4 linked regions of the Notamacropus eugenii genome follow. The protein of the gene in region 1 interacts with the protein of each later gene in a pairwise test. Links are inferred from orthologs where the notes say so. Each region holds a gene or a part of one and is shown on either strand. Other genes may lie near its edges. The genes, in order: CDKN2D, NR4A2, NR4A1 and C5H1orf94.

Region 1 (6,627 bases):
AGGTGGGAGAGATGACCAGTAAAGAAAAAGGATGTAGAAACCAAGAGCGGGGGGGACATCCAGGTCTGATGAGTCTTGGCTTCTCTCCCCACCTCTGCCAGGCTAAAGGCCAGTTTAAGAAGCAATCAGTGGCCAACAGTGTGGAGATCGCGGTTCCAGTGCCCAGTGATGCAGATTCCCCTCGATTCAAAACCAGTGTGGGCAGTGCCAAGTACCTGCCTGAGAAAAATGTGGTTATCTGGAATATCAAGTCCTTTCCTGTGAGAGCTGGAGGAGCAGGTGGTGGGTGGGGTCAGGGGGCAGTGGGAGGGGAACAGCAGGAGTCCAGGAAACTGGCAGAAGGGACCTGGTTGGTTAGGTTTGGAGCGGTGGGAAGGGGCTGGACCCTGAGGAGGGGAGAGCTATGAGCACGAAATGAACCTCCTGGGGCTCATTTAGCCAACAAAATGAAGTGACAAGAGAACTTATGTCAGGGGAGACTGGGGTAGAAATCCCAGCTCTATTTTCTATCTGTGTGACCTTGATCAAACCCTCTATATACTCTGGGCCTCATTTTCATCTTTTTTTCAATAAAGGTATTGGAATGGAAGGTCTCCTGGGGTCTGGTCCAGTGCTAAAATCGATGTTCTTTTCAGTAGCCCAGGAGGGATCCCCTAGGGCACAATCCCACCCTTTCTTCTGCCTATTTTTTGTGTCTCCCTTCCTCACCATGCATCTGACCTTGCAGGGAGGAAAGGAGTACCTCATGAGAGCTCATTTTGGCTTACCCAGCGTGGAGAAAGAGGAGGTGGAGGGCCGGCCTCCCATCTCTGTCAAATTTGAGATTCCTTATTTCACTGTCTCTGGGATTCAGGTAAAAGGGAGTGGGGTTTAGGAAAGGGGATGAGGGAAAGATGAACCCAAGGAAATGACATTAGCAGGTTCCCTTCATTCATTCACTATACAAAAAAATGCAGAGCACTGAGCTAGGTGCTGGGGTGGAGGTGAGGCTCAATCCTTGCTCTCCCTCTGTTTACATACATGGCCAGATAAATAGGAGGTTGGGCATTACTTGTTTTAAGGGCATTGAAGAGGAGCAAACATGGTACTGTATGAGCATAGGATAGAGGAAAGAGCACCGAAACCCCGGTGTTAGTCTGTGTGTGACTTTGCTCATATTGCTATAGTTCTGGACCATAGTTACTTCATCTGTGAAATGCAGCTAGATAAAATCAGGGGTTCCTAACCCTTTCTGTGTTATGCATGGTCCATCTAGGCTTACTGATCCCTTCTCATGATAATGTTTAAAAATTCATAAAATTAAATACATAGGATTACAAAGGAATAACAAAGCTAGCATTTACATAGCAACTAAACAATTGCAAAGTCTTTAACAAATGACATAGTGAATATAGCACTGGGTTTGGAATCAAGAAGACTCATTCATCTTTCTGAGTTCAAATCCAGCCTCAGATACTTATTAGCTGTGTGACCCTGGACAGGTCACTTAACCCTGTTTGCCTTAGTTTCCTCACCTGTAAAATGAGCTGCAGGAAATAGCAGATCTCTCCTGTATCCTTGCCAAAAAGATCCAAATGAGGTTATGAAGACTTGGTCAAAACTGAACAACAACCAACAAATGTTATCTCATTTGGTCTTCACAACACCCTGGGAGATACTTGTTATTATTCTGAGGCTAATGAAGGCTAATTGACTCGCCTAGGGTCACACAACTAGTGTCTAAGGACTAAATCTGAACTCAGGGACTCCAAGCCCAGGGCTCTGTGCACTATGGTGCCACCTAGCTGACAAAGGAAAACAATTCTGTTAAAATAATTATCAAAATTTGTTTAAAAAAAAGAAAAGCTCATGGACTCCAGATTAAGAACAAACCTTTCTGGCTCTATCATTCTGTGATTTTGTGTGAGAGAGAAGATTTGATCAGAGAGATCGAAGAAATCTTCCTAGTGGAGATGGCCTTGAACCAGGAATCCCAATATGGGTAGAAATTTCATAGGCACAGAGAACATTGTGAATAAAGAAAGATAAGACGTGGGAAGGGACGATTTTTCTTCATGAGGCAGAGTGTGGTCTAGTTTGCCTGGAGTGATGAGAGACACCTAGATAAGAGGGAGGGGACCCTGGACTGTGGAAGGCCTTAACTGTCAAGTAGAGTTTGATCCAGGGGGTATAGGGAGGAACGTGACTGGACTTAACGTGAAAGAAAATTCTGGCCATGATGTTTAGATGGAGGAAGACAACAGAGGTAGGAATACATGTGTGATTGAATGTGTTGTGGCTGGATAAGTAGTTATGCCTACTGAAACAATTTTGCTGGCATCTTTCAGGTCCGGTACATGAAGATCATTGAGAAGAGTGGGTATCAAGCCCTTCCCTGGGTTCGATACATCACCCAGAGCGGTGGTAAGAGAATACCCCAGATTAGGGGGTAATAAGTGATTAGGGGTGTGATAGATGGGGTCCCTAGCTAGGTCTGGACTTTTCTCCTCAGAAAGTAATACTACTTTCCCTGTCTTCATAGATTAAGGATATTGGGAGGTAGAGAGGAGGGAGGAAAGGAGGTGTTCCCAGTCTTACTTTGAATTACCACTCTAAGACAACTGTCCCCTCTCCTTGTAGATTATCAGCTTCGGACCAGCTAAAAAAGAAACAGACCCTGGAGCAGCAGAGGCTGACATCTTACCCTGTGGACCCTCTGGCACAAAGATTTTTTTTGAAGAGTGTATTTGTTTGTGAGAGTGAATGGCCCACTTATATATGAGAGGCATCCCGTCTGTGACTGTGAATGGGAGGCAATCCTGTCCATTTAGGGGGCAGCTTTGACCCTTATTTGCTTGAGGGTTGCCTGTGATCCCTGCTTATGAAATCTGCCTGGTCTGTATTTGGGAGGGTGGTCATCCCTGGCCCTTGTTTATGTCTCAGCCTCTTCACCGTCCCTACTTCTGATCTGGGGGCCCAAGCCTGCAGGCCTCAGGTAGCTGAAACCTCTTCTCAGGTCGGGGTTTCCCTTACCGGAGAAAGGGGGGGGGGAGCCAGGGGTCTCCCTAGAGCTCTCTCCTTCCTATTTTTATATGAAGTAAAGGTGGGGGAACTGATTTATCTCCTCCCGCTCCCCCCGCCGCCCCAGTGCCTTGTCAGGAGAGCCTCCTGTGCCTTGGTCCCCCCGAGTTTTCCACCCTCCTGCACTCTGAGAGTGGGTTCTCTGTTTCTTCTCCCTGTCGAGCTGTAGCCTTTACGATTAAAGAAGGTTGAGACCCGATTACCCCACCGAAGTGAGTGACCCCATTTTCGTCCGCTTTGAGAGGTAAAGGAGCAGGAGAGAGACAGTGGCAGGGTCCTGGGGCTGACTCGATGAGAGAAGGCAAGGACGCTGTGATGGCGGACAGGACGCGGGTCTGAAGCAGGGGGCCTGGAATGGGGTGCTCCGGCCCTCAGTCTGGCTCTGAGTCCTGGTGTCGTTACCTATCGGGGTGCACGGCTCTTTAGTGCGGATATGGGGGGGTGGGAGGTCGGTCTTTCTGCAGGAAGCTAGAACTGGGTGAGGGTCTGGTATTCGAGCACAGTTAGGGTGGGTTCGGGCGCGCTGCGGGTTCCAGCCGGGTCAGAGTGAAGGGTGGCACTGGTCGCTGTCTGGGCCCCAGGGCGACCAAAGGACGGGCTCTGACCCGGACCCGGCTCCTGCTCCCTCAGTCAGTTACCTCGGGAGCCTCTTTCCCGCCTGCCACTAGCATTTGAAACTGAAAACCCCGCCATTACCGGTACCCTGCCGGTCGCCTCCAGCCGACCAATCAGGAGCGGCGCTGCGGCCCTCTGCTTGCGAAGGCGCCCCGGAGACGCGTCACCATTGGCCGGGACGGAGAACGGGGCGGGGTCTCGAAGGGTCGGGAGCCGGGCAGAGGGGACCGATATTAAGTGTCAATTCGTAAGAAAACAAATAATCGGCGTTCGGAGCGGCCCACGTGGGGGCGGCGGCTCCACCCCCTCACGTCCTCACTCCTGCGGCGGCGGCTGCCGGAGCTCAGAGTGAACCCCGCCCGCTCAGGAGGAAGAGGGAGGGTGAGTTGGGGGGAGACCCCAGGGGAGCCCGGCCCCCAAGGGGCGGGGGCCGGGCCGGGCTGCGGAGGCGGAGGAGCCGCAGGAAAAAGGAGTAGGATTGGGCCTCCAGTCGGCCCTCCCAGCCCCCTCTCCAGATCCTGGCTGACAGGTGGGAGGAGCCCGTTGGGGAGGGGTCCGGGTTTGGTTGCAGGCCGCCGGTTTCAGGAGAGACTGAGACGCCGGTGCAGCAGAGCCTGGGTCGGGCAGGCTCGAGGGGACGGCCGTCTGGCTCCCCCAGCGCTGCTTCGGAATCTCTCCCGGCGCTGGGGGCCCACCGCTCGCCTCCTGAGCCTGGGAGGCTGGGCTGGGCTGGGCTAGGGTAGGCGAGGCGAGGCTGAGTGGAGCGACCACACCGCTGCCGGGGAAGGCCGTGGCACCGTACCCCCACGGCCTGACCCCGCTCCGCGCTTACCCTCTGTCTCTGCTGTCGGATCCAGGCTGCCAGGCCTGTAGGTCCGAGATGTTGCTAGAGGAGATAAGCGCCGGGGACCGGCTCAGCGGGGCTGCCGCCCGGGGAGATGTGAACGAGGTGCGGCGCCTCCTTCATCAGGAGTTCGTGCATCCCGACTCCCTGAATCGCTTCGGCAAGACCGCCCTGCAGGTGGGTCTCTGGCCAGAGAGGACCACGGGGGAGGATGGGGCGGCTGCTGGGGGAGACTGCCTGGTGGCCAGGTATGGGTGGGAGGAAGGGGAAACTCCCCTGGCCCTCCTGCTCTCCCTTCTCTACCCCGCCTCGGGCCTGGATGCGCGGAGCCTCTCTTACGTTTGCCCGAGTCCCACACCTCTCCTCGTGTCTCGATTCTTAGGTCATGATGTTCGGGAGCTCGCCCATCGCTCTGGAGCTGCTGAAGCAGGGAGCCAGCCCCAACGTCCAGGACGGGTCGGGCACCTCCCCGGCCCACGACGCAGCGCGCACAGGGTTCCTGGACACTCTTCGGGTCCTGGTGGAGCACGGCGCCGACGTGAACGTGCCGGACGGCTCCGGGGCGCTGCCTATACACCTGGCTGTCCGGGAGGGTCACGCTGCTGTGGTCACTTTCCTGGCCCGGGAATCCGACCTGCATCACCGGGATGCCGGGGGCCTCACGCCGCTGGAGCTGGCTCGGCAGTGTGGAGCCGGGCAGTTGGGCCGTATCTTGGAGAGGCACCTTCCTACTCCATCGTTGTGAATGTGGGGGCCCTTCAGCAGCCAGGACAGCTGGATGCCACTTGGCACTGGTGGGACCAGCCCAGAAAGCCCCGAAACAGAGAACAGGGTAGGGTTGGAGGAGGGTCTGTGTCTCTGGTAGGATGAGAGTGAACAGTTCTCTTCCTATTCCATGCCCACTCGAGTGCCGAGGGTCCATCTCGTCCCCGCCCCCACCCCTACCCCGAGTTATGGTTTGTTGGTGTTTATTTGTGTGGTTATTTTTCCCCTTCGGTGTGATGTGAAACTTGGGGGAGGGCAAGGGCTGCAGAGAGCCAAATGAGCAACCAGAGACCGTCTAGGACTCTTGGCCCTAGCCAGCTCCTGGACACAGCAGGGAAGGTGGCCTGATAAACGGTTTGTTTCTCCCCCTCTAGCCCCAACCCCTTCCCTTCAGGCTGGCGCAAGCTCACGCGAGTTCTGGGCCTTTTATGATGATCTAGGGCAATGCCCTGTCTCTCCTATCCCTTCCGTGGTCCAGAGTGGCAGGAGGCTCCTCTTTCCTCCCACACTCTTCTCCCCACCCCCACCCAGACACCTCAGGGGATTTCTAGGTTCCCAGAAGCAGCTATCTTTTGGCAAAGCCACCTCAGGGGTGCTGTAGGGAAGAGAAGGGCACTACTTCCTTTTGCAAACCCAGGAACACAATTTAATTTGAGGGGAATCAAAATGAGAGAATGGTGGCAGGGGAGTATTCCATTTTCTTTCGTTGAAGGCCTATTTCCAGCTTCTTGTACAGTTTTTAAAAGATTCTATTTATTATGCTTTCTGAAGAAATGTTGTGTGATAATTTAATGTTTTTAACCATTAAATTAATATTGAGCATTCCTTGATGGACTAGCTTCTGCATCCTGGTTTTTTTTCTGCAGGGGGAGGGGAGTATCGAGGGAAGGAGGAATATGGTGGGGGGAGGGGCTTCGGTTTTCTGGTTTTGTCTTCAGCGCAGCGCCCAGGGAAGAGTTTCAATGAGTATCTGGGCCCGAGGAGGGAGAGGGCCAGCCCGGGAGGGCGGGGTGATTCCCAGGGTCCAGCTGGGGTTGGGTGGGGCAGTGGTTTGGGCATCGGGAACGGAAGGGTGGCAGGAAACCGCGAATGGAGCAAGAGCCCCCAGCTGTGCCCTCCGAGCGGCGCTGGGGAGGGGCCAGGACTTCCCCCGCACCCAGGTCCCAGTATCCCGGACCTCCGGACCAGCCAGCTCCAACAAGCATTTCACCTTTGAGCAGCTACGGGAGCCGGATGAGGGTGGTTAGGGTCTTCCAGGCCCCCGGGGACCGGTAGGAGGTGGCGTGAGAGGAGGCGGGGGTGGGGGTGGGGGGAGGGGAGGTGCGGCCGACGGTAGGGGCGGG
Region 2 (6,855 bases), on another chromosome or scaffold:
AAATAAAAAAAAAAATATTTGTAAGTGTGTATGTGATCTATAGCAATTCTTTTCTTTTTAAAATAAAATTTTATAGTTTTTATTTACATGCCATACACCTTATTTTAACATGTGGTCAAGAATATAGAGGATAATACAGGAAAGTCACCTTTCAGGATTTTTTCCTGAAAAGTATTCTTGAAAAGGTAATGATAATTTTGTAATGCTTTTCTGATTAATTTCAAAAGAAGTCTCTAGTTGACTTAAGTATACAGACAACCCATTTTCATTCATTTATTTTACTCTGAAATTCTTTGACTTCGCAAAAAATGACGATGAATTTCTCATTTTCATGTGTCAATTTAAAGGTAAGTCTGATGCTTGACTCAAAATCTCATAATTGTCATTTTTAATTGAGTGAGTGAGAATACTTTGTGATGTTTATGTTCAACAGTCATGAAGGGCTGCAGTCATTTAAATGCAGAAGTTCAGTTCCATTTAGCCTAAAGCATCGTTTTAACATTTTCTAAAAGGTTGTTCAGTCCTGCATTTTGACTCCATTATATATGTGTAATTAAACCTCTGCACACAAAAGCATTCTTATGTACCAGCAAATACACCCACAGGAATCCTCTTCTAAACTGTAATTTATTTAAACATGTAATCATAGGATTTTAAAACATGCTTTCATTTTTCCAAACTATATGCCAATTTGAACTGCTTGGTGATAAAATGAGTTTATTACCAGCTAACATTTACCAAATACATGGTGAACTAAACATGAGCAGTATGGGGAAATGCATTGTAAATTCAATTCAATGTGCATCAGACTGTGCTCCCTTTATAAAAATATGTGTAGGTGTTTATGAATTTCAGTTTTTGAGCAGCACAGAAATTATGAATATTTGGGCCTGGTATAAACCTTTTGAGTTTTATGTGGCTTTTAATGCTTAAAAAAAAAGTTTGTGGCTTCAGGCCCCCTACTGACAGGATCAGTCAATTACAGAGATTGTTGGTTCTGATTGGACTTTCCCCTATCAATTAAATACTCAAATATATCTGTGCTGGGGAAAAGATTTCAGTTTGTTGGCTTTCAGCTCCAGCATCAGCTCTGATTGCAGTCTGAATGAGGCTGTACAGGAGCCCTTCTTTTGGACCACTATAGAGCCCCACCAAGTACAGGCCAACCAGCCTGACCAGTAATTGGTTTATTTAATAAACATTTGTTTACTTTACTCCAGCTTTCTTAAGTTGTGTTTTTAATGAATACCTCAGCCTAAAGGAAAATCCAAGGATTTGAAGACAGTAACTAAAAGTCAGTTAAAAACAGAAGAAAAATTATTCCCTACTTTTAAAAATCGCCATCATCGTAAAGGGTACTATGAAAGTTTACTTAACTCGATCTCAGTCATCACGAAGTCTTACAATAGGATGAAATTGAATAATTTTGGATACTGTTATGTTTCACTTTCTTGGACAGTGACATAAGGGACTCCGTGCACCTTTCAGACCTACTATGAAATTCACTTCCCTAATCGAAGATTTTCACTCTCTTGGGAGTAGAGGAGGCAACCGCTCAGGTTCTTAAACATTCCGGAGTGTGTTTTGTAATGGTAATGGAGGGAAACTAAGCTATAGGTTTGGATATGCGGGTCTGAGTGATGTGTCTGCAACCTTAAAATACTCCCGGTCCCCGTTTTTCCTAGGGCTAGATTAAAAAATAATAATTTGCCACCAAGTCTCCTACGTGGCTGCGCTGGAGTTTCCGATAGCCTTAAAATAGCTGGTGCTAGCCCTGCCCACAGCCGGGATCAATGAGAGTTCCCCTCCTCACCGTGCCCTGCCCCCTTGCACCAGGGGAAAGGGAGCTGGGGAGCACGCCGCTGGCTCTGCTGTGGCTGCTATTTTTGGCCGCGCCCGGCTCGGTGCGTCAATGACTGCGCCCCTGCGTCATGGCCACCCCCTACTCCCTCCCATCTCCCTCCCTTCCAAACTCTCACTTTTTCCCTTTCGTTCGCATTGAATCTCTCCAGCCCACGGGGTGGCTGACGCTACAGAGCTCATGCTAATGAGCTATTCTTCCTGGTCCTACCCCTATCCCCCTCCCCCTCGCTACAGCCGACACTGCTTCCCCTCGCTCCCCTTCGGTCCCCTCACTCTTCCCCGCCTTATTTTTTCTCGCGCCTGCTTAGGGCACCGCGGTGTAGCTGCGGCGGCGGCAGCAGCCGCCACCGCATCTGGGGAAACTTAAGGTGGTCACGTAGGTTTCCCCTGGGCTGCCGGGTAGCAGCGCCAGCGGCTTTCCCAGACTGCACGCAGTGCTTGGGACCGAAGCTCACCGCCCGGGAGAGGGCAGGAAGGGTGGGGTGAAAAGGTGAAGTCTGGAGTGCAGTTTAGGGCTCAGGGAAGGCGACACTGGTTTAATCTTGACTGTGCTTTCTTCTAATAATGAAAATACCAATAATACGTAGGGAGAGGGAGGGTACAAATGGGTCACGGTAGCAATAACGAAACCTTGCTGCTGGAGAAGGGAATGGGAGCTGAAAACAGTCGTTCAGAAGAAAGACTGGATTGAGATTATACAGATACTCCCAAATTTTACTCGCAACTAATTCAGAGCCCGAACTAAATGGCCTAGGCTTGGTATCCCTTCCAGGTTGGGACGAGCGGACTTCTTCAACAAGTAAACCTCTGTGGGCTTTGGGACTCGAATCGCTGTGCTTCTCTTAAAAACACCAGCGTTTCCTTTACTAGAAAGCATTCCATGTGCTTCCCTCCTCCCTGTTGCAAGGTGCTGTCTCTGTTCTCAGTCCCATTTCAACCTATTAGCATGCAAAGCAGAGCTCAGGCTGTGACAGCTTTCTGGTGTTGCTCTAAGAGCAGTAACGCGCCGAACCCAATACATACGGACATGCATGCTCTCTGGACTCCTGTTGATTATACCAAGGTTTTCTAAGGCAAATTGTGTACGTTACTTTTTTTTTTTTGAGGAAGAAAAAGGAGGGGTATCATTTCCCACACCACCTAGTTTAGGAGCTATGCAGTGTTTACTTAGTGTCCTATGTATCTAGAGAAATGTAGTTTAAAACATACTTGGGGAGAGTGCAGCTCTGAAGTTGAAAAGAATTAACCTGAGGTGCAAGTATAATCACCTTTCTCTAGGGAATGCACACCTGTTGCATGAAACTGCTGCATTGTCAGGACCGGGGGAGCGATATTTCTCAAATAGATTCTGGTTTTATAAGAGAGGATTTGGTCCAGTGCCCATCCTGTCTTGTTTATCCCAACCCCCCTTCCATACCACAGTCACCACGTCCTCCCTCCTACACGTGGGGATGAGAGAAGAGGGCATCACACAAAATACGACTTTTTTTTTTTCTGCAAGAGTGGAAATTATTGGAGGGGGAAGGGAAGCACTGAGAAAGGGAAACCCAGATTTAGCAGTCCCGTGCAAAAGGCTTCTGTGCACGGTTCAGCGCCTGGGGATGAGAGCAGAGGTGTAGAGCGTGCGGGGGGTGGGAGGGAGGGGGGAATTAGAACAATGAAAGTACATATCGCCCGATACCGTGCGCCTACAGGTGCGGGTTACCTGGCACACGCATCCTCCCTCAGCCATCCTTTCCTTGCCTTTCTTAACCCCCACCCCCATCCCATCTTCCCTTTTGTTGGTAGTCTTACACATCTGGGCTGCCAAAACTATTTGTGAATTGGGGAGTTTTGGAGAAGGTGGGGCGAAGTGAGCTTTACTGGCTTTAGAGGCAAGGGTGGGCAGGTTTCACCTATTTCGGAAAAAAAAAAAATTAGAAATGAAAAGAAAAAAAGCCCAACTCGGCTAACAAGGTGAACCCAGAACGGTTCCCACCTTAAAATCTGCCCTGCTTGTGACGTCAGGTCGGAAATTTACCAAAGCGAGAGCTGGCCAACTGTATGGGGAGAAACAGCCCTAAGGAACTGGGATTGGGCAGCCTGCACTGACGTGTGCTGACGTTTGGAGACTAGGTGCATGTTGGCTGTGGAATACGGAGCCCACATAAACAAAGGCACATTGGAGGGAAGGGCCAGTCTGTCCGGCTGCTCTCACTCTGCTACATGAGTACCGCACTTCCCGAGCAGCGCTGGTAACTAGCAACTTCTCGGGACCGATTGTTTTTTTTTTTTTTCCTTTCACCGATCTAACCCACCCCCTCCCCTATCCCCCCGCCACCCCACCTCCCGAGGAAACTGCTCTTCAAGACAGTTGAATGAATGAAAAGAGACGTGGAGAACCATTAAGTAAGTCTCTCTCTCTCTCTCTCTCTCTCTCTCTCTCTCTCTCTCTCTCTCTCTCTCTCTCTCTGTCTGTCTGTCTTTCTCTCTCTCTCTCCCTCTTCCTCTTTCTCTCCCTCCCTCCCCTTCCCTCTCCTGTGGGTATGGGCATGGGATCTGTGAATTGTGCGTTCCGGAAAAAGAAGTGAAGAAGGGAAAGGGAGTCCGGAAGGGAGATGAAAGGGAAGTTTTGTGAATTGCTCCAGAAGGCGTTTTTCCTAACTACACGTTTGGTGCTAGGAACAGTACATTCTCGGTAGCAGCTTCTAGTCTGCTAATTGGGAAACGCGGAAGGAATACTTCTTACCGTTCTAGGAGCTGCTGTCTTCTCAACTTCGACTTTGAAATTTCTACTCAGTCTTCCTCCATATCGTTTTTTTTCCCTTAGAGCAGATGTGAATTGGTCGTTTGGACACTGAATCTCAAAGGTCGTGTGTGTAGTAAGGCTTTAACGCTCAGGGAAAAGTGACAGGAGGAAAACTTCAGTTTATGTGTTGCTTGGGAACTGTATCACCATGGTTAGCAAACGTGCTGGTGTTTAGAAGGCTGCTCTTTCAGTATAGGTGCTGTTAGTACGGTATCCTCTTAGTTTCCCCAAATTTCTGTGTTCTGACACATATGGCTCATCAGTGAGAGAGAGGGGAAGGAAGAGAGAAAAGGACAGAAGAGAAAGCAAGAGAAGGGAAGAAGAGGGATAGAGAGATTAAGATCACTTCTCCAGTGAATTTACAAACCTGATGTTAACAAAGATAAGTCACCTTTTGGTGGGGTTGGGGGAGTTAATTGCACCTTCTCTCTCCCCCACCCCCCATCTAGTCTCTCGGATTTCCAGTTGTGAAATAGGAAGTCAGAAGCAAGATAGCTAAAACTGAAGAAGAATGGATATCTAGCTTTATTTTTTTTTTCATTGACATACTTGTACTCTCAGATGCCTTAAAAATGGGAACATCTGAAAATTACCAGGATTGTTGTCGTGTTTCATTAAAGAGGGAAACAACTCAAGCTGGTAGTAGAAAAGGGGTCATCTTGCCATATGTTTAAATGCATCCAAATGAGTCAAGGACTGTCTTTGCTGTATTGCTCTTTGCTTGCATTCTTTTTGCAAAAATAAGCTTTCCTTAAATGTACATTTCAAAATATGCACAAGAAGTTTCTTAGAAATGTGAAAAGTAAGTAGCCTATGTCCTTGAAATAGATTAGTCATTTTCATACATGTAGAGGGGTTATTAGCCTCTTTCCAATTATACAATGTAGGCCTGTAGCATACTTTGTAACTTTGAAGGTGAGGTGGAGATTAGGAGGTCAGAATGGTTTTTCATATTTTTATGTTATTTTTCTTTGGTTAGCTTATTATTACATTTAAATTTGCCTACTGAATACCTCTCACTTGAAGGTCCCAAAGTGACTTTTTACAAAACCCTGGTCTTCCTTTCATCCTGTGTCTGAATAAAATTATGATAGTGACAACCCATTCTCTTTTACCTATTACAAGGGGTGGTGGTGGTGTCAATTCATGACAATTATAAATGTTAAATGACAACTTGCCATAAGTTCTTCTTTTCCCTCATAAAAGAAAAAAAGAAAAACCTTTATGCAACTAACTATATGCCAGATTGTCATAGGGAAAAACATTTTTATTGGTTTTAATTATATTTCTTCCACATTCATGTGTCATAGGTTTATTTATTTAAAGGCCATACTATGTATTACAGTGAAATATGCAGGTTGGTGTAGTTGCTTGTGTCCAATAAATCCCTCCACAGTAACCTGAACATATTATGTCTGTATTTCAGGGAGCAGGCTGGACAGACTGGACTATTCACTTATTTTCTAATATCTTGGGAACTTTGTCCTCCATTGAATTACGACACTGTCCACCTTTAATTTCCTCGAAAACTCCTGTAACTCGGCTGAAGGTTAGTGAATTTGATTGCTTTTCAGTTTTTCCATTCTTCTCTCTCTGACACTCCTTCAAGACCCCCTCAGGACCCCTAGAACCTTCAAAAGCAAAGTCATTGCACTCAGTAAACCAGTCCTATTACTCGAATGCCACCTTCAGAATAGCTTAGCACCTGGCAGGTTGCTCCAGAACAAGCGACCTGAACACATTAAATAAGAGGTTATTGGGTGGGTGGGTGGGGTTGTAAAGGAGACACAATGGAAATAGGGGCGTTTCTTGATCCTTTATATCCTACCTGTCTTTCTTCTTTTAGATCTCCTCCCCCCACCCTCCCTTTTTTGAAGGTCAGCGCCTGCAACACGGATTGTCTTTCCGCTCTTTTTCCTCTCCCTTTTCCTCTCCTAAATTGCAGTGCTGTGTACAGTTTACTTAATACGGAACCGCCGTGTGGTTGATCCAGGTGTGCAAAAGGTGTACAAAAGCAAGGGAGAAAGTGTTCACTTGACCAGGCTGAGCGTGTATCACCCTGTTTCATTTCCAGCCATGCCCTGTGTTCAGGCTCAGTATGGGTCATCGCCTCAAGGAGCCAGCCCAGCTTCCCAGAGCTACAGTTACCACTCTTCGGGAGAATACAGCTCCGATTTCTTAACTCCAGAGTTTGTCAAGTTTAG
Region 3 (6,905 bases), on another chromosome or scaffold:
TCTCTTTACTGGAAACACAACATACCCAGGGCTCCAATGTCAAGAGAAGCACTCAGTCATCTTGAAGGAAAAGTACCCTCTACCTTCCCTGGGAACCCAAGGCTCCAACCTTGGGCCAAAGGCAGAGACCTTGAGCTTTCTTGATTGATGGGCATTTACCATGTTTACAGATCATTAAAGAAATGATGGATGGATCAGGCAATCAGGGATTACAAAGGCCCAAGCACAGCCATGCCAGACTCACTTCACTGTATTTTTTGATGAGATTACGTAAGTGGGGGATGCTGTGGATACAATCTACCTAGATTAAAAAAAAACAAACAAACCTTCTGATAAACTATTCACATGTTTCTTGCAAAGAAGATGGATATGGTTGATATTAAAGCAGAAGTATCTACAGTACTTTGGACAGCCAAAGTAGTGCTAAATGTCAAAGTGAGAGGAGGTCTCCAATGGAGTGCCCCAGGGATCAATGCCTCTTAACAATATGATCAATGACTTGGATAAAGGAACAGATGTTATGTTCACCAAATCTGCAGACAACACAAAACTGGAAAGAAGAGTTCACACAGGTGATGACAAGAATCAGGATCCAAAATGATCAGCCTATAGCACTGAACTGAATGGAATAAGTGAAAGGCCCTAGACATAAATGGAAAGTCTTCCACTTGGGTGCCAAAAAATCAACTTCACAAGTAAAAGATGAGGGAGATAAGGATGTATAATAGTTGTCTGAACAAAGATCAGGGTGCTCCAGGCTCAGGAGGAGTCAGCAGTGTAATGGACAGTCAAAAAAAAAAATGCTAGAAACAATCTTGAGCTGTATTAAGAGGGAAATAGTTTCTAGGAACAGGGAGATGATGATACCATTTTACTCTGCCTGGGTCAAACCAAAGAATAATGAAGGGTCTTGAGTCCATGGCATATGAGATTAATGGAAGGGAATGCCCAGTTTAACCTGGAGAAGAGGAGACTGGGGGAGGGTGGAAGGGGAAAGGGAAGAAGTAGGGAGCTGGGGATGGAGGACATGATAGCAGTCTCCAAGTATGTGAATTGCTGGACCCCAGAGGGTAGAGTCAATGGCAGTAGATAGAAGTTATATTTTGCAAGGAGACCAATTTAGGCTCAACACTGGGATAAACAAGTTAGAATTGTCCAAAAGTGGGAAGGGGCTCCCTCTTTAAGGACAGGATCTTGAAGGTCTTGAAGGAGGGATTCCTTTCCTGTATGGACCTTTTCACCTGTCAACTTCTAGCTGTCATCCATCATCATCATCATCTTCAAGTCTCCACCTCTGACCTAGATCTCAAGTTCTCAGCCTAGGCTTCTAGGCTTCAGACCCTGGTAGAAGGTAGCATCCTACTCTCTATGATAATCAGATTTCTTCCCATATTTCAGACCCTGGGCTTCTAATTGGTGAGCATTCACCACATCTAGCCCAGACGCAGACACACCAGACTACTTCCCATCTATCTGCATGCCATCAAAATGGCCCATTCTTTCCTCCCCAAGTTTCTAACTAACTCTGAGAATAGTAATCAAATCTATACCACCATTCCTCAAAAGAATGTGTCAATTGATTGCCTCTAGGACACCCATCAACATCCCTGTGACTCCTCTGTGAAAAACTCTTTCTCAGTCAACACAATGTATTGTGTATTGTCTCCTACTATTGTGATATGAGAACTTTGATGGCAAAAACTCACTTCTTTTTGCATTTGCCTACCCAGCATATAGCCACGTGTGTGCACTGCAGACAGAAAGTGATAAATAAGTGCTCTTCCACTCATTTGGATAGGCAGCATGGCCTTGGAATGAGGAAGACCCGTCCAGGTTCTAGCCTGGCCTCTGCCACATACTGCAGCTCACCATCTCTCAATGCTTTAGGAAAATCTTTTAAGTCCAAAGGTAGCAGAGAAGGTGGGCAGCCTACATAGCTTAACCTGGGGTGGAGGTAGAGGTGCCTTTTCCCCTCCTAGGTTGGGGCGGGGAGGGGGGGAGGGAGAGAATGGTGGTGATCTTTGCCAGCAGGAACCTAATCTAGGTTATCAAGTTTGTCCATACTCCACTTTCATGCAGAACCCAAAATATAATCAGGTTTCAGGGAGCATGCAGGACACTCTTTCCTGGGAGTATATGATTATCTTCATTTTATACGTGAGAAACTGAGGCCCAGGGAATAGAGGTTCACCACACTGTCCTTTTTTGTCACATAACTAGGAAATGTGCCTTGGGCACTGCCAAGTTTCCCAAGACGGTATTATCTACCTTCTCCCTTCCCAACCCCCCCCCCACTGGGTGGTAGACTTGGAGTCAGGAGATAAAATCCCGACTCAGATACTTACTATATGATCCTAGGCAAGTCACCACTCCAATCTCCGCCTTAGTTTACTCATCTGTACATGGGGATAATAGCACTTACTTCACAGTGCAACCTCATTGGGTTAATATATGTAATATATTAGATAAAATCTGTAAACATATTATCTACATATTACGACATGTAATATATTAGACAATATATGCAAATATATTATCTACGTATGACATGTATTATGTAATATGTAGATAACATGTAAAAAGCGGTCTGCAAATCTGAAAACAATCTAGAATGCTCCATATTGACAATAATGATAATAAACACAAGCAGATTCTAGTCCTAAAAAACTCCCAGACCGCGACAATACTCCCTCCCTCCCCCGCTCCCTCCCGAGGAAAGTTCCTGCCCATTCGGCGGCCCCGCCCCCCGCCCCCGGCCGGGCTCCGCCCCCACTTTCCAGCCCGGCTTCCCCAGTCCGTGCCCCGCCCCCTCCCTCACCTGGCCCGCTGGGGCTCCCCGAGCTGGGCTGTGCAGGGCGCGAAGCCCCGCCCGGGAGGGACGCCCTTCATTCTGCAGACACGGGCCCCCAACCCTGGGCGGGGGTCCCAGAGGGGGTGCGAGGCCCGCTCCTCGATGCGGTTCACTCTCCTTCCGCACGCCCGCCCCGCGGTCGCCATGGGCCCCCTCCTCCTCCTTCTCCGAGCCAAGGGAGCCCCCGGCCCGGCTGTTCCCGGGCCTCCCCCCGCCCCTCCCCCCGCTCCCCAGCGCGAGCTGGGCGCGAGCGGCTGTTCCGGCAGGCAGCGCGCCTCCCCCCGGAGGCCGGCGGGGGAGGAGTGACGCGCGCGCCCATTGACGTCTCCGGAATCCCGGCGGCGGCGGCGGTGGCGGCTGCTTGCCTGCCCCTGGAGCGTCGCCCGCCTCAATGGGCTAAAAATAGCGGCTCCCGGGCGGAATAGCCCCGCGCGCCCGGAGCCCCGCCCCCGCCCGGGCAGGTGGCACACGTGCCCCTGCCCCCCTCGGTGAAGCAGCGAGCAGGTTGGCCCATGTTAATCCATTTTATTCTCACGACCACCCCGGGAGGCGGGGTGCTGCGGCCGTCGTCGCCGTTTTACAGCTGTGGAAACTGAGGCAGACCGGTCACAGCTGGGAAAGGCTCGGATCCCGCGCCGTCCGCCGCCTCCTAGCTGCAGACAGGGGAGGGAAACTGAGACCCAGAGAGTGAACAGGGAGGGATTCGAACCCAGGGCCCTGGTCTCCAAAGACAGCGAGCGCTTTCTGCTCCTGGCGGCCCTCCCTCGATCCGAGGTATCGCGCAGAGAAGTGTGTTTGGTGCCGCGGGAAAGCAGTCGGGACCTGGGACCGTCAGCCCCTTCCAGCCCTCGGACCCGGGCAAGGCACTTCACTTCCTTCTGCCTCAGTTTCTTCAGCGATAAAAGGGAGACAGTAACACTTGGGGGCGTGGGGTGAGGACGAAGAGAGCTACAGATCTCCTCTGCGTGCGTGGAGGCTTCGGCCAGCCTTCAGACCCTGGATACATAGTAGCTCTCTTAATTGCACGATGTATACATAGTAGCTCTCTTAATCGCACGATCTTATCCCTCTCAGGCGATTCTCTCGGACCAGACCGTGGTACCTAAGATGGGGGTCTGCATTCCTATACCAATGAAATCGCAAGTCCGGGTAGATATGCATCCCCAGAAGCTGGTGCATCACAGTCCCTTAAAAAATGCTAATTCATTCATTTAGAATTCGCTTTCGACTTTCTAAACTAAACCTTCACTGATTTCCAGCCCTTATCTGCTGTCTAATAGATAGACCTGGTCTTTCTTGCTCCCTGTGCCTCGTGGAATCTCTAGATTCAGAGATCTAATGCATCCACTCCCGAAATACCTGTCCTCCTCCACTCCCCCCTTTCCCCTTCCACCTCCCCTCTTGCTCCTTTACCTCCTCCCCCTCCTCCTCCTCTCCCCTCTTCCTCCTGCAGCTGGGCCCCCTCCCCTCCCCCCTGCCTTTGTGGCTAAACTACTGGAGAATGCAGTGTATAATAGGTGCCTCCATTTCCTTTCTTTTCACTTTCTTCTTAACTCTGCAGTCTGCCTTCTAACCTCATTATTTTCCACTGAAATTGCTGTCTCCAAAGTTTCTAACTTTCTTGACCTCTCTGTGGCACCTGAGACTGGTGACCATGCTCTCCCCCTTGATGCTCTCTTCTCTCCTTCTCCCCAGCTTTTCATGACTCTCAGTCCTGGTTCTCCTCCTACTTAATTTGACCCCTCCCTCTCAGTCTTTTTTTTTGCTGGATCTTCAATCTGGGTCAGGACTGGTCACCGTGGGTATCCCCCAGGGCTCTTCGCTGAGTCACTTTCTCTTCTTACTCTCCCCAGGGATAGAGAGGCCCATGGGCCTGAGCTGCACAGAAACAGGTGAAAGGCTGGATTTGGCCCATGCCGTAGTTTGCCAACCCAGGCTCTATGCTATTTTACTTGGTGATCTCATGAGCTCCCAGGGATTCAATTGAGGTTTCTCCAATCAATCCTAGCACTTGTTGCACCACATAAAGCGAGTTTACAGAAAAATCACCCAGTGTGGGAGCTAGAAGACAGCTTAGGTGTCACTTTGCCCGACCCCCTTATTTTTCAGTTGAAAAAACTGAAGACCAGATAAGTTAAATGCCTCTCGAAGGGTCACACAGTTACTGAGTGGAGGAAGGGAATTCAAACTAGATATTCTGAGTAGATTCAGTTTGTCCTGGCCTTAGGCCTTTCCAAACTAGGGATGGGGTGTTGCCTCTGGCCTTTCACCTTTCCATTTTCCCCCAAACCTTTTCCAGATCAATGGACCTCTTGAATCTTCCTACCTCCTAAATCCGCTGGACCCCATTGTTTCAGATACCCACTTCATCAAACCCATAATTAATTAATTAATTTCTCACTTTTCTCTTGCCATCCCTTTTTAATTGGATGGACTCGCCTGTTATATGCTCCCTCTTTCCTTTACTAGCCCCCACTTCTGAATACTCCAGAACATGAGTGCCTCTCTAGGATTTACTTTCAGAGAAAAGAACATAATGCAAAATCAGAAATAATAGACCAGGATTAGGTAATGAGAAAGAAGGTCGAGCAAGAGACCTATCAGTTCCACTCCAGATGGTACTTTCTAGTTCCTTTAAAAGATGTTTATTCAAAGATTACCATCCAAAATAAAGGAGGCATAAAACCAAACCAAAACAATAAAAATAAGATTAAATGAGCCTCAGTACAACTGAGATGCTTAGCAACTATTTACATTCAAATTAACTAATTTCAGTGCATCAAGTATCATAATTTTTCATTCACTCTGACTAATCATTCTCATTCCCTTTTCCTTTTGTATCCTTGTAGTTAGAATGTACTCATACCACATCCTTCTTGGTAGCCTTTTTTCACTTTGTATTATTTCCTCACCATGGAGTTCCTTAAACCAATTAAATTATGGGTACCACCCCTATCCCTCGCCCACTCAAGTTCAATATCCCTATTATTTCAAATAGATCTTTTCAGGTTTCTCAGTATGCCTCCTACAATCTTAAATTGCATTATCATGTTCCATTATATTAATGAATGGCACTTGAATTCTTAATTATCTTACTGAGCTATTCAGTTCTCCAAGCCTAACTTGGCTTATCGGGATTCTTTCTTGGTCTGGAAATTCAAAAGGCAGGAAACTTGTTCCTCCTTCCTCTGGATCTCCCCCATAACACCCATGATGGGATGCTGTCAGCTTGAATCAATATTTTGGGGGGGGGGCTTCTCACAGAATTTAATTCTTTGTTAAAATTTCATAGGAACAGATTTTTTCTTTTGATTTTTTATTTCATTGCTTTTGATGTTTCATATTTTATTGATACATATTTTCACACCATCTTCATTTCAGAGTATATCTCTTCCCTATCCCCTACCCAGAAGGCTAGTGTTTGTAATAACAGTTTTTAAATGAGGAAAAAAAGTAGTTCAGTCTAACCAACCAGTACGAGCTGAGTCTGACAGTATATGCAATATTCCACACTCATGGTCTCCCCATCTGTGCAAAGAAAGGAGGGAGGCACATTTTCTCAGCTCTTCTCAGGAAGTAAGTTTGGTTGTTATAATTATATGATTTTCAGAGAGCTTTTTTGTTGTTGTTTTTTTCCATCTGCACTGTTGTAGCCACAATGAATATTGTTTCTATTCTATTCTGCTTCGGTTCATCTAAGCACTCCTAGATTTCTTGGAATTCTTCATATTCATTGTTTCTCATGACACGGTAACATTCCATTACATTTGTATACCAATAATTTATTTAGATTTTCCCCAATCAACACACATCTGTTCTATTTCCAATTTTTTGCTACCACAAAAAGTGCTGCTATGAATATTGTGTGTGTCATGTGTGTGTCCATGTGCCCTTAATGAATACCCAGCAGTGAGTGCTGAATATTTTGACCCCTTTCTTAGCATAATTCTAAATTGTTTTCCAAAATGGTTAGACCAACTTACAGTTCCATCAACAATGTATTGGTATGTCTGTCTTTCCAGAGTCCCCTAATATTTATTTCCTCCATCTTTTC
Region 4 (7,369 bases), on another chromosome or scaffold:
GGTCATTGGATTCAGATGGCTCTGGAGGAGAAGCAAGGTTGGTGACCTGCACAGCCCTCCCTCACTCAAAACAAAGTCAAGTGCAAGTCATGTCATCATTTCTCCAATGACATAGTCTTCTTTGGCAAAGAAGGATGAACACACACACACACACACACACACACACACACACGTATTTCCACTGGCTAAATATCAGTATCTGATGTTGAACTATTTCATATTCTAAGACCTTTCTGGGAAGAACTTTATTTTCCGGGTCTTAAGTAGCAATGGGTGCAGCACCAGAAGGGGCAACTGCAAAGCTGCAACTCCACAGGGGTTGCTTCCCAGGATGACGGCCGAGGGAACTGGAGTAAAAGCTTTGTCATGTCCAGGGCTCTTGGATGTAGGGTCCTAGGCTGTCTCCATCCAGTTCTAAGGAGACATGGTAGTCTAGGTGGTGGTGGTCTGACTAGATTGGCACCCTCTGCCTCCCATCTCTCTCTCAAGGTGCCTTGCTGCTTCAGCTAAGCTAGCTTGTCCATCCTGAGTGTTAAGGATGACTGGCCCCATCTACATAAGAGCTGCTTCTTCGGATGATGGTTGGGAAGGCTGGGCTGGAAGATCTGGAAGGAACTGCCACTCCCAGGGCCCCTGTGTCTACCTGCTTGTAGGTGGCCATTGGTTAGTAGCTGTTGCTGGCCATGATGAGGAAGGTAGATCCTCTCCTCACAATGACTTCTCCCTTCCATGGTGCTTGTGGAGATGGGGCTGGAGGCAGGTCTGGGTGTTCTGCTATTCCCAAAGTTCTTGGGCTCAGGGACCTAGGCTATCCCCATCAAGATCTGAGGGGCGGTGGTGGGTAAGATGGTGGTGCTGGCCTGATTTTTCTGGCATATGTGGCTTCCCATATCTCTCTCAGGCTTACTCCTTCAGTTTTTTGTGCTGCTGATCTGAATCACAGAGGGATTTTCAATACCAATAATTCCCCATACCTATAAAATCACAAATCTAGAACAAACAATAAAAAAAGCAAACAACACCCTAACTCTGACTTTATCATGAAAATCTGTGAGAATAGGATTTGATAACACAAAGGTCTGTTTTCCAGACAATTTTGTCAGAAATCCACCTATTCTGCAACTGGAAGAACTTTTAGTTTACCATCTCTTTTGCGCCATTCCCCTCCTCCCATCAGAGCTCTCCTGAACCTCCCAGGGCGCTCAGCAAAGATACGCTAGGGTTTCAGTGACTCCAGAGCACAGAAAAGAGAACATCAATGCCGAGCTCCTAGTTTCTCCTGAGAAACAACCAGGCCAACACAAATACTGCATCTAATGAGCACAGACACATTTTGTTTGCAACTAACTTTTGTTGTTTCCCCTCCTTCAATTTTTAATGACTCTGGCAACAGTGTTAGGACCATTATTGGGAGAACCCAGGAGATGGGAGGAGATTGATTTAGATCCTGCAAGAGTGAAGGGAGGCGGGAAGAGGTCCTGGCTTCCTCACTAACTTGGGGAGAGCAACGCTCAGTGAGGGGATGAAGAGAGCAAGATGAGTCAACAGTTCATAGAGAAGCAAAGGCTCACTTCAGCTCTTTCCTTTCCCCCTGCACTCTCTAGTCCTGAAGCGTTTGCTCATAACTCTCTATTCTCAATCGTTTCAAGCTTTTGTTATTCATTCAGTCACCATATGATGATACAAAGACAAAATTGATGAGGATTCTTGTCCTTGAGAAGCTTATAATCTCAGTAGAAATGACAGTATGTTCATATATCTCTATCTCTATCTGTCCATCCATCCATCTATCTACATCTATACACACAGAGTAAATGCAACATAACTGGGGTGGGGGGGGGGGGAAGGATCTGGAAAAGTTTCATGTAGAAGGAATCACCGTGACCTGAGCCCTGAATAAAACCAAGAATTCCAAAAGGAAGGAGAGCACATCACCCACAGAGGCCAGCATGGAGCAGAAATAGAATGTCGTGTATGAGGAGCAGTAAATGGCCAATATGACTGAACTACCAAGTGAATGAAAGGGAGCAAAGTCTGGAAAGATGGGAAGAGAATTTATGAAGGACTGTAAATGGCAAACAAGAGCTGACATTTGATCTTAAGGGGTATAGGGAGTCATTGGAATTTCTTGAGGAAAAGAGTGATGTGGTTGAACCTGTGCTTTAGGAAATTCAATCTGGCATCTGTGAGGTAGACAGAGTAGAGAGACCTGAGGCAGAGAGACCAATTAGAAGGCTATGGCAATAGTCCAGGGAAGAGTCAGTGAGGGCCTGCCTGTGCTAGGGGAGTGGTTGTGTGTGTGGAAAGAGGTTTTGTGAAGGTAAAATGACAAGATTTAGCAGCTGATTGAGATAAATGGAATGAAGTAGACTGAGGAGTGGAAGATGACGCTGATGATGAGAGTCCGGGTGACTGGGAGGTTGCTGGGGCACTGGACAGTAATAGGGCAGCTTTGAAAAGCAGGCTGGCTCACTCTTCACCCTGCATGACTGTGCTACTGTCAGGGCCTGCTGGGGGAATGCAAACTCATTTTAAAATAAAAATGAGCCAAACAGAATTAAGCCAATAAATCTGATGGCCTGCATCACATAATGCGTTGCCAAGCCAAAGAGGACCTTTGAGGGTTGTCGGGGCTTCTCTCCTGCATCTTTAGCAGGAATAATCTAGTAGAATAGAAGGTTGGCCCAAAGGGACTGACTGCTAGGGCCCCTCAGCTTTGTCTATCGCCAAGTGGTTCTGGTGAGAAGACCAGTGGTCGTAGGAACCCTGATTTGCGGATGGGGTTTGAAGGAGGGGATACATCCACCTCTGAAACATGCTTTGGACACCAGCACTGGGGAAAAAAGGGGATGGGGGAGAATTGTAGGTTGAAGTGGCAGAAGCAAAGAAAGAGGTAAAGCCCCCGAGGCTATCCCTCATTTCGTCAGCAGAGCCAGTGTTTCTGAAATTGGAAGAGTGGGGTAGAACCTTTGCAGTTGGGGCTGAGGAGGGTCATATCGTGGCTGGCCAGGCAAGGGAGGCCGTCATCCGGCCTGTTGCCCCAAACTCTCCCTAAAAGTCCGAGGACTTTTTCTAGTGCCCTCCTTATCCCCAGGTCTCCGGCCTCGTCTCCAGGATGGGGTTGCGGGGACAGTAGGAGGATGTGCACTGGGGCGGTAGGTGATACGGCAGGGCAGTTGGCTCGAGAGGGTCAGGAAAGGCAGATGAGGATGGGCGAGGGTCTGAGGTCCCCATAGGACCTCTGCCCGCTCCTTGCCTCTTCAGCTGCATCGTCCCCACAGCAGCTGCCTCCAGGGGCGACTCAGTTCCCCCAGGAGGGCTGAGGCAGGAGCGGGATGTAGACGGGTCCAGACCAGACTCCTCTCCCTGCCCGGGCAGGTAGAGGCCCCAGATCGCAGGAGGTGGGGGGTTTGAAAAACTCGTGCCAGAATCTCACTGCTGACCACAGGTTGGGGGAATGCGGGCGCTGAAGGGCCGAGAGTGTGACCGCAGACCCGCGTGCGCGGAGTGGAGCGCAGGGCGCCGCTGCTCTCTTTCCTGCTCCCTGAAACCCCAGCGTATCTGCGCTGCGGGGGCTGGGGGGGACAGTTAAGAACTGCCGGGTTTTCATTCCTGACAGTCAAGAAGAAGTGTTTCAGTAAAGGAGGTTTGGCGGAAAGGCAGCGGAGGGCTCTCCATTTGTCTCCACTCTGAAGACGGGGGTCTCTGTACTGCTATTGAAAGCACACTAGCTTGGGAGTCAGAAGACATGGGTGCGAATTACTACTCTGTTACCTACCTGTGTGCTCTTGCTTAGACACTTCTCCCTGGGCCTCGTTTGCCTCATCTGTAAAATGAAAAGGATTGACTTGCAGATTCCCTGGAGCTCTGAAACCTGAGCTGTGGACTTTTTCTAGTGCCCTCCTTATCCCCAGGTCCCCGGCCTCGTCTCCAGGATGGGGTTGCGGGGACAGTAGGAGGATGTGCACTGGGGCGGTAGGTGATTCGGCAGGGCAGTAGGCTCGAGAGTTGGCAGATGAGGATGGGGGAGGGTCTGAGCCCTCTCTCCCACCCCCACCCCCTTCCTGAAGGGATCTCGTGCCTGGACTGCCCAGTTGTGAACGCCTCTGGCCAGGAGAGGAACGGAGAAAGGGGAGAGGGGTGGTGTTCCATTACTGAACTAACGTGGGGGAATGGAGGAGTGCAGGGCGGATTATCCGGGCTTCGGCTGCCCTATTTCCTTGTCCTACCGGCCCCTGACTCCCCCTCTCAGCTTGTCTCCAGTTGTTATTCTGCCGGCCCAGTTGCCAGGATCCTGTGCTCCAGGGATTCCACGGTTACTAAGCTACTAGGTTTGTTGTCTTTTATTTTAAAATATTTTCTTCTGGGGGAGGGGGGAGGGGGCAAAAGAAAAGGAAAGAGCAAATAAAAAAAAATCAAAACAACCCCTCCCCCAGAACACACACACACACACACACACACACAGACACAGACACACACACGCAAACACACATAGACTTGTGAAACAATTGTCCTTGGAGGAGAGAGAAAAATCTGACCCCTTAACTCCAGTATCCCCGACTCGATTTCTGGTGAATGAGGGGTTGTGGATGGTCTGTCTTGGAGCCCGGGGCAGGCAAAGGCCCTTCTGCAAAGAGAGGAGGATGATGGCCAGTGGGAATGGACTCCCTTCTCCCACGGTGGCCAGCAAGCGCCCATCACCCCTGGGTCCGTTCCCCAGGCATATCTGGATTCACCAGGACACGCCTCAAGACAGCCTGGACAAGACCTGCCATGAGATATGGAAGAGGGCTCAGGGCCTCCCAGAAGCCTTCCAGCCTAGGACAGGATCAATGGTACCAGCACAGCCCACTTCTGCCCCACCTAGTGCCCTCCGAGACCACGACAGCACTTTCCAGGATGAGTGAGTGTTTTTCCCCTGCCATGACAGAAACTTGGGCTGGGGGACTCTGAGCATCAGAGGTCTGATTCCTTGGGAGGCAGTTGCTTATGGAGAATATTTCCCTTGGCTCCATATCTGTAGCCACTCTATGGTGGCTGACCTAATGTCCTCCCTTCCTCATGCCTCACATTTCCCTCTAGGCTTTCCAGTGCCAACAGATCAGCACAGCAGGTCCACAAGTCTTAGGGCCTGCAAGAAATAAAGCTTCGGGAAGAGTTGTGGCCAATGATGGGTTGGGGCACCTTTTGGGGATTATTCTGGGATAAAGGGACAACTTTTCTTCCTTGCCTGCTAATAACACTTCTCTTCCCAAAGCCTTGGATACGAGAGGCAAGAAAGTTGCATTAATCAGAGCTAGTATGATCTGCCAGTCCCAGAGGTCTACCTTCCTCCAGGATTCCCAAGGTTCTCCTCAGAGATGGTTTAGAGATGAGGATTTCTTGGGAGATGCTTTTCAGAGATGTTCACTTTCCTTCCCACCACATAAACTGATCTTCTTGGTGTGGAGCCACATCTGGAATCCCCCAGCTTGGGAAGCAGCTGTCCCATTCAGCCGCTACAGAAACCTCTCCAAAAGCACACATCAAAATATTTACTGGGAAAGCCCTGACATCGTCAAAGACCATAATAGAAAATTAACACATTCTAGAAGATGGCTGTAAATATGCCTATTTCCTGCTGGGAAACCCTGTGACTGGGAGTGCCAAGAGTCTATACTGGGGCAGAGGCGGAGGGCAAGAGGAAGCAGTGAAACAAGAGCTGGAGGATAGGGAGGGAGAGGCAAGAGAGAAAATGAAAGGCTATGATTCATGCCCCTATTTAGTCTTTCCATAAGTTTTCTGTCTTCAAAGGGTGTTGCAAACCTGAATTAATTACTCCTCGAAACATCCCCGCCAGGCAGATAATGCTGTCCCCATTTTACAGATGGATTAAGTGTTAATAATTAAGTGCTAATTAGAGGCTAAGTGATAATTAAGTGTTGCAGGCCCCAGTGTATGGTTCTGTACAGTGGAGAATGGCATTGGGGAGTTGGTGGAGTCTTTGCTTGCTAATCCAAGAAGCACCCAGGCAATGACCAGCTGTTAGCAACTGCTCGTAGGCTCTTGCAAAGCTTACTTGTGGATCCCAGAGAACTGAAAGCCCTAAGCACATCAGTGGGCTGAAGATGCAAACAACTCAGCGGCCTCCTTTCCCACCTCTCCTGTTCTGCAGTCCTTGTCAGAGAGGAGGAAGTTAAAGGCACTTTAGTCTGTTCTCAGTCTGCCTCAGCTGCATTAGAGAAACAAATATCGCTAGCTCGGTGCAGCTGAACAGTACTTAATGCAGAGCTCCCGGCCAGTCTGCCTGAATACTGAGCTGGTCCCAGGCAGAGCATCCAGTTCCTTCATTTTACAGAGATGGAAGCAGAAAGGGCAAATGATACGACTAAGGCCCCACAGGCATGTGGTATAGCCTAGATTCAGACTCTAGCCCTCTCACTCCAGGGATCTTTCCACTGAAATATACTTCCTCTGGATGACTAAGGGATGAAGTCTTCCTACTTCAGATTAGGCACTTGCCACTGGCAGAAACAGACCTACAGGCAACATCTAGGTGGCACTTATCCACTTGGGATTAGCCATGGGTAGCTTTTAATGTGGGACTTGGTTTCCCCAAATAACCTGTTTCTTTCAAGCTCTTCTCTCCAATCTTCAGTGTTGTATGTGGACCTTGAAATTGGACTGGGGTGCAAATGTATGGGTGTCAGAAAATCTTCACTTTAGTTTGGAGTGCGCCACTGATTACCTGTGTGAGCAGGGGCAAATTGGTAAACCCTTTTCTACCTCTATTTCCCCTTCTTTAATCTGAGTGATGAACTTGGTCTTATTTGTCTTCAGGGCTGTGGTGAGGATGATAAGGGATGAGAGGTATAAAAGTACGTTGGAAATTTTAAGTAAAAAATTGTATAAAATGCAAATTATTATACTTTTAATTGCTCAGATGTGTCTTTTACAATCTCATTCTAACTGTTCAAGAATAAACCAAGTATATCACCATAGTATATCTAGGAATCTGCTGGTGAAGGAGAAGCCCCATCTTTTGAAGTTTATTTGAAACTATGACAAATCTTCCAGTTGCTGGAGTTATCTGGCTTCTGTGCAGGAGGTGAATGGTTTGTGTTTATGAATCCCAGTTATGGAAACTTTCTGACTTGTGTGTATGACCTTTGTTCTGGAACTGTCTGGCTTATCCATGAACCTTGGATCTGGATGTCTAGCCCATGTGCATGAAGCCCAGTCAGGAAACTGTCTGGTTGGAGTATATCACATTCATTAATTTATCTATTCATGCATTCATTCATCCATATTCCTGTCTATTCATTCATCTGACAAAACATCATAATCTTGTCTGAAGTTTAAGAGCTAATATGGTATTTAGGTTCTACAC

Evidence for each region.
Region 2: the proteins of CDKN2D (region 1) and NR4A2 interact in binary tests that used the Homo sapiens proteins (3 or more experiments, as listed by UniProt). The two-hybrid records come from large-scale screens. The link is inferred for Notamacropus eugenii from reciprocal best matches to the Homo sapiens genes CDKN2D and NR4A2.
Region 3: the proteins of CDKN2D (region 1) and NR4A1 interact in binary tests that used the Homo sapiens proteins (3 or more experiments, as listed by UniProt). The two-hybrid records come from large-scale screens. The link is inferred for Notamacropus eugenii from reciprocal best matches to the Homo sapiens genes CDKN2D and NR4A1.
Region 4: the proteins of CDKN2D (region 1) and C5H1orf94 interact in binary tests that used the Homo sapiens proteins (3 or more experiments, as listed by UniProt). The two-hybrid records come from large-scale screens. The link is inferred for Notamacropus eugenii from reciprocal best matches to the Homo sapiens genes CDKN2D and C1orf94.

Annotation. Positions count from the first base shown.
Region 1 is NC_092875.1:79,627,038-79,633,664, forward strand, and holds CDKN2D (cyclin-dependent kinase 4 inhibitor D), read left to right. Parts: upstream 1-3,968; 5' UTR 3,969-4,056; intron 4,057-4,532; 5' UTR 4,533-4,555; coding exon 4,556-4,696; intron 4,697-4,901; coding exon 4,902-5,264; 3' UTR 5,265-6,114; downstream 6,115-6,627. Other genes in the region: AP1M2 (AP-1 complex subunit mu-2), read left to right, coding at 102-260, 728-853, 2,328-2,403, 2,620-2,642. UniProt on the Homo sapiens protein: Interacts strongly with CDK4 and CDK6 and inhibits them.
Region 2 is NC_092876.1:215,131,718-215,138,572, reverse strand, and holds the start of NR4A2 (nuclear receptor subfamily 4 group A member 2), read left to right. Parts: upstream 1-3,833; 5' UTR 3,834-4,251; intron 4,252-6,077; 5' UTR 6,078-6,200; intron 6,201-6,596; 5' UTR 6,597-6,727; coding exon 6,728-6,855. UniProt on the Homo sapiens protein: Transcriptional regulator which is important for the differentiation and maintenance of meso-diencephalic dopaminergic (mdDA) neurons during development.
Region 3 is NC_092874.1:224,525,898-224,532,802, reverse strand, and holds the start of NR4A1 (nuclear receptor subfamily 4immunitygroup A member 1), read right to left. Parts: upstream 3,026-6,905; 5' UTR 2,819-3,025; intron 1-2,818. UniProt on the Homo sapiens protein: Orphan nuclear receptor. Binds the NGFI-B response element (NBRE) 5'-AAAGGTCA-3'. Binds 9-cis-retinoic acid outside of its ligand-binding (NR LBD) domain.
Region 4 is NC_092876.1:85,488,721-85,496,089, reverse strand, and holds the start of C5H1orf94 (uncharacterized protein C1orf94 homolog), read left to right. Parts: upstream 1-4,366; 5' UTR 4,367-4,589; coding exon 4,590-4,903; intron 4,904-7,369.